4 linked regions of the Saccharomyces cerevisiae S288C genome follow. The gene in region 4 interacts genetically with the main gene of each other region. Each region holds a gene or a part of one and is shown on either strand. Other genes may lie near its edges. The genes, in order: YER175W-A, PAU16, COX5B and AIR2.

Region 1 (2,354 bases), on a different chromosome or scaffold from region 4:
ATATTTCTGGATGTTCGTCTGCATCTATTGATAAAAACCGGACATCCTCTTGCCTAACTTTTTCACTAACAGCTTCTAGCACCTGGCTCATAGTTTTGCAAGGATCAGCCCATTGAGCTTTAAAATATAAGACAATGAGTTTATTAGCAGCGTTTGTAGTGGTTAGTTGCGTAAATTGGTCCTGGCTTTTTATTTCAACCACAGTCATATTTATTGGAGGAAGAGCACAGAAATTTAGTTATATGTAAGTGGAAAAATGAAATATGCTCAGTACCCAAAGACAACAATGTTACCGGGAAAACGAATCAACGTTCCTGGCAGTAACAGATTAAAAAATGGTTCAACTGGTACAGTATTAATATGCTATTTAAGCTAAATATCAACCAGTCTTCAGATATGGTAACTTTTTCTAGGACATCTGTGAATACGTCGCGAGGCTTCACCAATTAAAACGCGCGCTCTTACTAAAATTTCACGAATATAATGCTTATTGGCTGAAATTTTCAGACCCTTTTGCCAAGTTTGTAAAAAGTATTCCAAACAACTTCAATTTTGGTGTTGGTGGAAAGTTCCGGCCTCCTCCTTAGTGACTCTTTAATAAACCAATCTGCTACATCTTCTTTATCTTTGTTCTTTGGATCCTGCTTCCACTGATGGTAAGCGCTCCAGGTTCTGACATAATCTGCAAACTCCACTAGGGTGACCTGCTTTCTGATTAGCAATGGCTTCTTTGTATGCTGGTGGAGTTTTACTTTGTCTCTCACATCTTCTGCACAAAAATATGAAACTTGTATATCATGGAAAAGTTCTGGGTCTAAGTGAGAGTCTTTCAGCATATTACGAAGGCGAGATCTCCCCGGTTGTTCCCAATAGGGTCCCAGTCCTTGCTTCCCGTAAGGAACTTCAATCATCAGATCATCAAATTCAGGGTAGTCCGGGAAAATTGGGTCCGCATAACCCCAAATAGCGATAGTACCATCTTTTCTCAAATTGGCATAAGCAGATCGCTGAAATTTTTCGAAATCGAACCAATGAGCACATTCTACTGCGGTAATCATATCAATTTTCTGTTTGTCTACTGAATCCGCGCCTAGGAATTTAAAATCATCACTTGAAGAAATCTTAAATGAAACGTTTTTGTATGTATCAGGACTTCCTTCCTTTATTACTTCTGCAGTCTTAATCATGGTAGCGGAGAGATCGCTTCCGATAATTTGTTCGAATGGTTTTAACTCCTGAGCCATTTGTAAAGTGGCAGTACCTGGTCCACAGCCAACATCTACGAGTAATTTCCTTTCTCCGTCGTGGTATTCATCAATCATCTTGTAAAAATCGGAGGGATAAGAAGGTCTTGAAGATGAATATCTTTCTGAGTTGAAATCAGAAGCAGAAAAGGTAGACATTATTATCACTTATTTTGTTATCTTGTTAGGAGATAATTCTCATAACAACTAATAAAGACTGCTACAACGAAAACATACTAAATTAGTTACATTCCTTTTCCTTTAAAAATGAAAATAAGGAAGATAAACTTTCGGAAAACCAGAAAAAAAAAGGATATTACTGTGAGTCATGAACATCAACACATAAGGTGTGATTCATTTATAGTAAACAACGGCAGAATTGCACCTAATTTTTCTGATTAGATAGGTTGATGGAACACCCTTTTTATTGGTCATTTAACAATGCATGAGACTACATAAAACATTTATCTGTTTTAGTCAAAACAAACGTGGTTGTAGAAATATTCTGCAAGAAAATTCGCGGATGATATTTGAGAATAAAATACTCATAATGATATTGAGGCAGGGTATATTTTTTAATATTAGCGTGAGCACCAAGATCAGTTTCTAAACATTAGCAAATTATTCTAGGTGGTATAAGACAGGCTAAAAATCTATAATTGAAATGTCAGCATCTTAAAATAAAACAGGAATTAATTTCTAAATACGCAATTGATCCAAGTGTTATGTCAATATGACTTACTGAGAACATACTCTGGCGGGCTTTACTTCCCGATCTCACATGTTGCCTTCAAGAAGCACAAAAAATTTGCAGCCCAAACACTGTCAGACACGGGAATCGATCTAACATCGTAAAATTTCAGCTGCTTCGATAAATTGGTACCCAAATATTGGAGAGACCTTTCACCACACCGACTTGAAATAGTAAACTCAAGCGCAATGATGAAAATTGGGTTGCAATGTATATTTGATATCACAAATACCAAAATTAGCCGCTTTTTTGGTACGCACTTATAATCGAAGAAATTGATTCTTTTTTAGATTTTTAACAAATGAGGTTATATGAGAATGAAGCAGGTCATAACAAGCGGAACCAAAGCTTACTCAAAC
Region 2 (2,889 bases), on a different chromosome or scaffold from region 4:
TAGCGTCCTGGCTCCACTAAATTCATTACATTTGTGCTTTAATGTCCTTGAGACCTATTTTGAATTAGACAACAGCAAATTATCTTCTAAGTCATTATGCCTCTCCAAAAAATGGCCCCATTTAAACAATGCGTTGTTTCTTATTTATGTGAACGCTTTCAGAGCATTAATTCAAATTTATACCATTTTTCTACAGTATATGGAAAATAAAGATATCCAATTATTCATTCAGAGAAATTCGTCCGCACTAACTTATTCTATATGTCCTGGAGACTTTGAGGGTCCACACAATAAGTGTATTTCACTGAAAATTGCATTTAAAGAAATGGAAAACATATTTGATCATATTCACCAAGAAAAGTTGAAACCTCTTACTCAAATTTGGCAAAACTCCTATTACTTTTCTATTATTATATCAATGGAAAAAATAGGAAGAAGAGCTTTTAACAAAGGAATGAAAAATATCGATGAAGGGCCTGAAACCGAAAATGATGCAACTGAAAACAGTTTAACAACTATACTAAATGATTTAGAGGGACCTTTAGAAGATTTCTCGGAAAATTTCATCGATGATATATTAGGTTCTCCAAGTGCCTTCTTTGATACAGCTATTTCCGGGTGGAGTAATTTTGAGGACTTCTTTTCCAGATAGGTACAACAATTGAATTATAAAAATTGAACCTGTAGTAAGTGACTCATTTTTTTTGCCAACACGAAAGGAACTCTTTGTGAAAGCTATTGGTGGCACCCTCTGTTCCTTTCGGACTTCTACATACTTTTCTAGATAGTTGCTCTTTTTTTTGGGGTATTTCAGGTGTCACTGCCCAGCTATTTTTCATTTTTAATAACTAAGATAACGTTTGATATGTAAGTTCTAAGTATGTTTCTCTATATTTTAGGTGCACATCATAATATCCTATGTATTCTAATTTGCAAATGAATATTTTGAAAGAGAAGTATTTTATTCCGGAAAAAGAAATTCGATATTTTTCTGGTATATTAATGCTAATTGGTAAGTAAATTCAATATTGTCTAGTGCAGACTCAGATATAGTACTGTCGTTTTGGCCGAATTGAAACCTCTTCAACATATACATATATATACTGTGGTTTAATCACCATAATGACCTTGGGTTTTGTAAAATTTAAGTAAAAAGAAATATTTATTAAATATAATTAATTGAAAAAGTGCCATGTTCGTAGTCAAAAAGAAATGAAGAAGTGCCATGGGAGGCTTGTAATTAGTATTCCCACATTCATTTTCGGACTAAAAGACTTTTCAAGTAAAGTTTAGTATTTATAAACTGTTACAATTTTATTTTTATCATACACGATTCTTTGAACATCAACTTCTCTCAATACCATCCGCCTTCAGCGGCTACAATTACGTAATTGCACCAAGGCATTCGCGGAGAATTCACGAATTTGCAGACGCTAACAGTATACGACTCCCAACACACGTTTAATGTTGTACGAATTCAAGAGATAGAAATATTTCTTGCATGGAAGCCGTTTAGAGCAGACTGAATATGGGCTTAGACAATAAGCTTCTGTACGAGGGTCCAAATCTAAAATTCGGATATTCTTTTTGACCGAAAAAGGAAATGTCACAGGCACAGAAAAGGGTTTTATAAGGCACCTCGGCACCCTATAATTGGCATTCTCACATTCTACGCATACGAATACACATGAGTGCCATAAAACAGTACTCCACATACGAAGTCTATGAAAGATGTATGATTCGTTCAGAAACAAGAGCATCTCCATAGTGATAATGAGATTGTGTGAAAGATGAGATATAGAGGATATGTGAGGTGCTAAATGAGCACTTGTTAACGAATCGTTTAAGTAGTGATGACTGATGAAGGCATGGGTATAAATAGAGCTGCTTCAACTGTATGTCTTTGAGAATATGTTTTTATTCCTTTCTTTCCTGTTAAGCTTATATCAGCACTAAGAAACAAAACAAATATAATGGTCAAATTAACTTCAATCGCTGCTGGTGTCGCCGCCATCGCTGCTGGTGTTGCCGCTGCCCCAGCCACTACCACTCTATCTCCATCTGACGAAAGAGTTAACTTGGTCGAATTGGGTGTTTACGTCTCCGATATCAGAGCTCATTTGGCCCAATACTACTTGTTTCAAGCAGCTCATCCAAGTGAGACCTACCCAGTTGAAATTGCTGAAGCTGTTTTCAACTATGGTGACTTCACCACCATGTTGACTGGTATTCCAGCTGAACAAGTCACCAGAGTTATCACTGGTGTCCCATGGTACTCTACCAGATTGAGACCAGCTATCTCCAGTGCTCTATCCAAGGACGGTATCTACACTATCGCAAATTAGAGACAAACGCCAATTTTACGAACGGGTTTCCATAGACATTGAAAATTAACGAACAAAATAAAATAAAAAAACTACTTTTTTTTTGATGATATAAATACCGTAGATTATATAAATGTATATTAATATTATAAACCTATTTGATCAATGACGGTGTTCGTGAAGCATTTTATGAATATGATAAACATAGAAAGAAATTTTACACTATTGTAGAAAAAGCGTGGACGGTAATAAAGCTAACAGAGTATGTCCAATAAACAACAATGAAATTGGAAGCGTATGACTTCGCAGCACTTTGTCCTTCCATAAAAATGAGTCGCTGCTTCTTTTTTCATTTTTTGGCGCGTCGCGTCGGGCCGTATAGAATATGCGTCACTTCTAAGAACAAGATTGCAGATCAGGGCAGTGCGAGTTACGGAGTCATGGTATCAAACTCTCATTTAGAGACCCTCATTTTTTGACACTGAAAATATCAAAATTTCTGGGTTGCGATAGTTTTTGTGTAACCGTAACCAGAAATAAAGCTGAAGGGTTAGTGTTCTATCAA
Region 3 (2,872 bases), on a different chromosome or scaffold from region 4:
TGATGTTTGACATCGAATAGTTCCCTCTTGATCAATGGTTTTCTATATATCGGAGATTGGAACTCTTCAAATGTCAATCTAACATCCTTAAGACTTTCCAATATTGTTCCTAGGTCTTCCACATTTGGCTGCACAACTCCAGCTTGCGACAAGAAATCCGAATCTAATGGATTGATGTAAGCAGTGGTATTTTCGTTTTCTTTGCTGCTTTCAACGAATGTTTCAGGTTGAGCAACAAGCTCATCATCATCAAAGTCATTGGAAGTAAAGCCGAAGGAAAATGACATATTTTAGCTACACAACACTTCGGTTCTGATTGTCCTTTTCCTCCCCATAGAATCGATGACTTGAACATTTTTATTTTTTAGATTGGACTTTTTTTTTTTCCAATTTTCCATGATTATTTTTTTTCTTCTTCGAAGTAACAATGAATGATATTTGCAGAAGAAGGTACAAGGAACTAAGTAATCAACCTACTGAACTAAGACCAAATGCGTATATATGAAAACAATCTACTTATACCCCAAACACGGAATATACGAAACAATTTTATTTTCCTCGTCTACTTATTTAGATTGAACTTGAGAATAACCTCCCCAAGGATTGGCATTTTTTGACTTCAGATACTCGTCTGATTTCAACTGCCATTCCCTGTTCATAGTCTTTGGAGTTTCAGGATTGGCTAATAGTCTCACTAAACCAAAGAGCCCAAATGAGATTCCTAACCCTAAAAATACTCCTTTAGTTATAAATGCAACATCGCCTTTTCCGTGTACAGGTCTTCTAGGTCCCCACTCGCCGTAGGATATGTACCAAGCTGCTTTGATTTCCTCGTTATTGAGAGTTTTCCATGGAAGCTTTTGACGTTCTGTCAAATTATCTGCAATCTCTTTCTGTTCTAAGTTTGGCATATTTTCCCATCTTTCGGGCAGATCTGTCAATGTTGCCTTCGAAAGGGCCTTTGTTTGAACAAATCTTGTCCCAGTTAGCCGTGCCCCTTTAGTAAGAGAAGTACGCAACACTGCAAAACTTGTGCTTGTACACCTCGAATGTTAGTAAATGGATATCTTTTAAAACTCAAAACAAAAATCAGTGTTTGTTATACATGCTCTTTACAATGAATATGTGGCGTTATTCCATTGTGAAAGTTTCCTGCAAAGAATATTAAATTGAAATAATTGGTCTATTGTTTAATGCAACAGTCATTTATAAAATATAAATCAAATGAAATTCGTCTTTTTTCGTCTTTTGCACGGTATTTTCTGAACCCCTCAGTAATTTTAAGGGGTCCATGACATTTTTTCGAGTACTCGTTCGTTGCCTTATCGAACAATACAAAATCAAAAAAAGAAATTGGTGAGTGTCATGCCGATATAATAATGACAAAACAGTACGATTATATGGAATTATGTTAACATGAATAGTATTTAATGAATCGAAAATGCAACTATGTATGAGCATATGCCAACGGACCGATGAATTGTTTTACCAAAATGGTTCTTTGGATGTCTGCTGGAGGACGGAGGATATGCTCATACGGTGTTGAAATTTAACCGGTAACTCTCGAGGTATTTTTAGAGAACGCTGTTTGCGCGTCGGCTGCTGCGCTTTGTTCAGCTTATCGTTTCTCCATCGTGCAAATTCGTTTATTGATATTTGAATCATATTTCCTTCAATTTCTTTTCTTTTTGCGTGGTTTTCAATAACAACGTTATCCCATTTAATCCACGCCATGGGCAAACTAACAAATTTTTTGTACTCCAAAAGCTCATACCCAATCTTTGTGTCCAAATCAACCCCATCAAAGTTTACAACATATCTTTTATTTTCCATGTTGTTCTTTTTATCATCATAACTACCTCCATACAGGAAAATGAATTTCAACATATTCCACAATGGAGTCAGGTGCGAGGGATCGACGGGAATCTTCTCAGAAGTTGGTTGGTTGTCCTTTGAGAGCAAGTCGATATCCTTCAACAATATCATTACTTGCAAGTCGAGCACAAATTTATCGTTTTTTTCGTCTACAAAATAATATAGCGGCAAAAATCTTTTGTAATCAAGTTTATCGTTGAAGTTAATAATCTTCAGTCCTAACGGATATAAGTCCCTTACTGCCCTTCTATAAGAGATTTCTTCCATTTCTTTTTCCCTTTCCATTTTTCTTGCTTTCTCTAAAGTAGCTTTTTCCAATCTTTCCATTTCTAAGACTTTCTGCTTCTCCTGTTCTTCGATCCTTTTTTTCTCATCTTCGGCCAGCTTTTGTAGTAGTTCCTGTTCTTTTTTTCTTTTCTTTTCTAATCTTTTCTTTCTGTATTCTTCCTCTTCCTTGAGTCTTGCTTCTCTTTCAGCAGCCGTTTCTTCATGTATTTTACTTATCTCTACAGATTTTGCCTTCTTTGGAGAATGAGGTTCCATAGAGAGTGGTGAGATACTTTTTAATTTTTCTTCATCTTGCAAGGCATTTGTTTTACGTTTTTTCCAGTCCAATGAGTATTGAGTACCAACATTTTCATTGTCATCCAATCTCTTGCGCGAATCCGAAGTTGTAGATTCCTTGACATCACGATCGTTATTAAAGTCATCGTCTGCCAGATTGAGCATCCTCGTATCGTCCTCTTCGTCTTCAATTCTAGGAGTGGCACTTCTTCGGCTTGCTAATATGGGTGATTGCGTTTTCTCTCTCTTTTTTTCATGTTTATATGTTTCATTATTATTATCATCATCATCATCATCATCATTATTATCTTCAGAGTGCTTCTTCAAATAGTTATTTATAGCATTTTCAATCAATTGAATTTCTTCACTGTTTGTTATTCCCATTATGCTGTTTTTGGCATAGTACAAAGCGGTACGACCCTTTTTATCTCTT
Region 4 (3,362 bases):
ATACAATTGTTATAATTAATGATATAGACGTAGGCACAGACAATGTTTGCGCCCTTACGTTTCACTTGGTGGTAACATCAATGGCAGGAGAGATAACTGTTCTTAAAGGCGAATTTTTCAAAAACTGCAGGTTAGGAAGAATAAAACTGTGCGATTCACTAAAGCTAAATAGAAAAGATCGGTTTGTCGACAAACTTGCTCTAATCGATTATGACGGTTTAAATGCACAAAAAAGAAGGTTAGATTACGATGAAAAGGACCTTTATACATTCATTGTGAAAAAGGTAAAAAGAGACTAAATTGAGTTGCATAGATGTTAGCCATAATAGAAAATAGCGTATGAGGTAGCAGGAGTTATAAGACGTATTTACGTATATGTATGTATATGTTATTATTATTACCTGTGATTGCACGAAGGCCTTTTTTTTTCACAACAAGAAGATGTAAGAAATTTACATGCTATTTTGATTAATGGTCGAATTAGGTATTGTCTTTAATCTTTCATTAAGAAAATATAATGTAACCAAGAACAGCTTGTTAAAGGGCTTCCTATTTAAAGTTATCTTCTTTTCCCCAAGGTACCACTCCTATATGGTTGATAAGAATTGTAGTTTCTGTAATTGGAAGAGTTGGAAATGCTGTTATTATCAACATAAGTAGAAGGGTTATATCTGGAGCCATACATATTCTCCGATATCGACGAGACGTTTACTTTTGTATTTTGATACCGTGAATTTTTACTAATATTATTATTGAGTGACAGCGTCTCGCCCCTTATAGTTGGTTGAATGACATTAGACTTTTGATAAGGAGGAGGATGGAAGTTCGATGCTCTACGTTTATTTCTGCCACTATGAGAGTGATCGTTTTGGGAATGTCTTTTATGGGAAGGTCTCGGTAGTGGATCCTCATCGTATATGGACTCACTAAATTGATAGTCTTCATTTTCGTCCGAATTTCTGTTCATGTGACGGTAATATTCCTGTTTTAGCTCAACTGACAAATTAGAACCAGTGAACGCACTTCCATCCTCGTTAGGTACTCTAGATGATCGTTTTTCCTTGCAATCATCACCAAAGTGCCCCTTTCCACCGCAGTTATAACAGTATATAGTATGAAAGGGAAGGACCTTGGGCTTAGCCTTTTCATTATCATCTACTAAAATATATGCTCTCCATATACTAGGACATCTTTCTTTTGAGTGTTTCTTACTCTTACAAAGAGTGCACTGAACTTTTTTCCATTTATGTGGACATTGTGACCTGTAATGACCCACCTCATCACACTTTGAACACTGGATAGCCTTCGGACAATGTCGAGAATAATGATCATCCGTCGCCCCACAGTACGAACATATTATATGGGGACAATCCTTCTTCAAATGACCTCTTTGAGAGCAATTATTACATTTAGGTGCTGCCTCTTTAATGGCATCCTTGTCATCATCGCTTACGCCAAAATATCTACCCTGCCCTCTAAGAGCTCTTAATTCGTTGGGATTACTATTTACTTCCTCTATAGAAGGTGCTACAAGTTTATCTGGAGGAGTTGTGGGTGCCGTATCGACGACAAATGGTGCCGTATTTTTTTCCATGACTGCGAGGAAGTGATGTAAGCTGCTATCGTTGTACAGGTAAGGTTTAATTCTCTCTGATGCTGCCAATAGTCATAACTTTTTTCGAAATGTTTCTTCCCATCCCATTAGTGTTTGAAGGAAAAAAAGGCACTACCCGGATCATGAATACATTTGATGGTAATAATATATATCACATTTTTAAGCATGTATTAGCTACTGGGAAAGGGCATTTTGAAATGGTATGTTTTCTTTAAGGATGAACTATATATATTACATGAAATATATTTCAGGTTTACGTGAAGGGTGAAAAAGGAAAATCAGATACTCACCTGTAATCATTAGCGGGCTCGTTTGGATCAGTTTTAAAGATTTTGTCCGGGTTCATGATTCTCTTTGGGTCAATAGCTAGCTTAATCTTTCTCATCAAATCGACGGGTGCTTCACCTAATTCTTCGAGCAAGTACTCTCTTTTACCAATACCAACACCGTGTTCACCCGTGCAAGTGCCTTCTGCGTTCAGTGCTCTCTTGACCATTCTGTCAACAAGTTGGCTACAGGTTTCGTGTTCTTCAGGGGTTCTGTAGACGATGAATGCATGGAAGTTACCATCACCTGCATGACCAACAATGGCGTTGATCAGCTTACTAGCTTGCATGTCCTTTTTAGTTTCGTGAATAACCTTGTCGAACTGCGACACAGGAACAGCTACATCAGTTGTCCAAATTTTAGCTGATTTGTCTTTGCTCTTATCAGCGTCTAGCACAGACCATAGCGCGACCTTTCTAGCTTCCCATAATTCCAATTTTTCGTCATCATCTTTAGCAAACTGAAAACTGTTGCAGTGATTTAACTGGGCGACAGCCTTAACTTCATCCACAAGAGCATTGACAATGTTGGGAGATCTCCCACCAATCTTGAAAAACATAGTTGGTTTCTCTACCCAATCACATCTGTCCGTGGATTCAGATGCGTTGATCAACTTCATCATATTTTCATCCAGTAACTCCATGGCGTTCAAATGAATACCACTCTGAGTCAGATTAGAAGCACATGCGGCCGCATCCTTGATAGTATCAAAGGATACCACCGCAACAGTTTCAGCTTTGGGCTTGACATGACACTTGACAGTAGCTTCAGTAACAATACCTAAGGTACCTTCACTTCCCACAAATAAACCATTTAAGTTATAGCCAGCGCTCGACTTTCTGGGTCTTTTCTTCGTCTTGACAATGGTCCCGTCCGGCAACACTATAGTCATGTTTATAATATTCTCCTTCATGGTACCGTAACGGTAGGCGTTGGTTCCTGAACAAGAATTAGCAATGCAACCACCAATCTGTGCACCTGGACCAGGGTCACAGCCAAACATCAAACCGTGGTCGCTCAAATAGTCATTCAAATCCTCCCAGGGTAGACCGGCCTGCACGGTGATGTCCAGGTCCAGCTTGTCAAATTTTACGACGTTATTCATAAACTTGGACAGGTCTACGGTTATGGTATCTCCAATTCTTGTAGGCAGGAAGTGCCCCTCCAAGGACGTTCCGCCCGAGAAGGGTACAACTGGCATGTTGTTATCGTGACATATTTTCAAAATTTTGGAAACTTCTTCGGTAGTATGAGGGAATAATATAATCCTAGGTCTTTGCTCGGGAGAGGGGTGATGCGTGTTGAAGTAGGTATCTGAATGGGCGTCCAAATCGGATTTCGCATCAGAGTAGTTTTCAGGCTTGTTTCCCAGCACCTGCTTCAGGTCCTCAACAACCTTATCGATCTTAACCGGGTCGTG

Evidence for each region.
Region 1: mutations in AIR2 (region 4) and YER175W-A together harm fitness more than expected from each alone (negative genetic interaction), as found in Saccharomyces cerevisiae (one large-scale study listed by BioGRID).
Region 2: mutations in AIR2 (region 4) and PAU16 together harm fitness more than expected from each alone (negative genetic interaction), as found in Saccharomyces cerevisiae (one large-scale study listed by BioGRID).
Region 3: mutations in AIR2 (region 4) and COX5B together harm fitness more than expected from each alone (negative genetic interaction), as found in Saccharomyces cerevisiae (one large-scale study listed by BioGRID).

What each region holds. Positions count from the first base shown.
Region 1 is NC_001137.3:538,961-541,314, forward strand, and holds YER175W-A (uncharacterized protein), read left to right. Parts: upstream 1-1,689; coding exon 1,690-1,854; downstream 1,855-2,354. Other genes in the region: monothiol glutaredoxin GRX4, read right to left, coding at 1-208; TMT1 (trans-aconitate 3-methyltransferase), read right to left, coding at 504-1,403.
Region 2 is NC_001143.9:1,266-4,154, reverse strand, and holds PAU16 (seripauperin PAU16), read left to right. Parts: upstream 1-1,973; coding exon 1,974-2,345; downstream 2,346-2,889. Other genes in the region: YKL222C (uncharacterized protein), read left to right, coding at 1-652.
Region 3 is NC_001141.2:153,460-156,331, reverse strand, and holds COX5B (cytochrome c oxidase subunit Vb), read right to left. Parts: upstream 1,111-2,872; coding exon 1,110-1,110; intron 1,022-1,109; coding exon 567-1,021; downstream 1-566. Other genes in the region: HPM1 (protein-histidine N-methyltransferase), read right to left, coding at 1-287; HOS4 (Hos4p), read right to left, coding at 1,486-2,872. UniProt on the Saccharomyces cerevisiae protein: Component of the cytochrome c oxidase, the last enzyme in the mitochondrial electron transport chain which drives oxidative phosphorylation.
Region 4 is NC_001136.10:143,925-147,286, forward strand, and holds AIR2 (TRAMP complex RNA-binding subunit), read right to left. Parts: upstream 1,595-3,362; coding exon 560-1,594; downstream 1-559. Other genes in the region: GID12 (Gid12p), read left to right, coding at 1-299; DLD1 (D-lactate dehydrogenase), read right to left, coding at 1,902-3,362. UniProt on the Saccharomyces cerevisiae protein: Component of the TRAMP (TRF4) complex which has a poly(A) RNA polymerase activity and is involved in a post-transcriptional quality control mechanism limiting inappropriate expression of genetic information.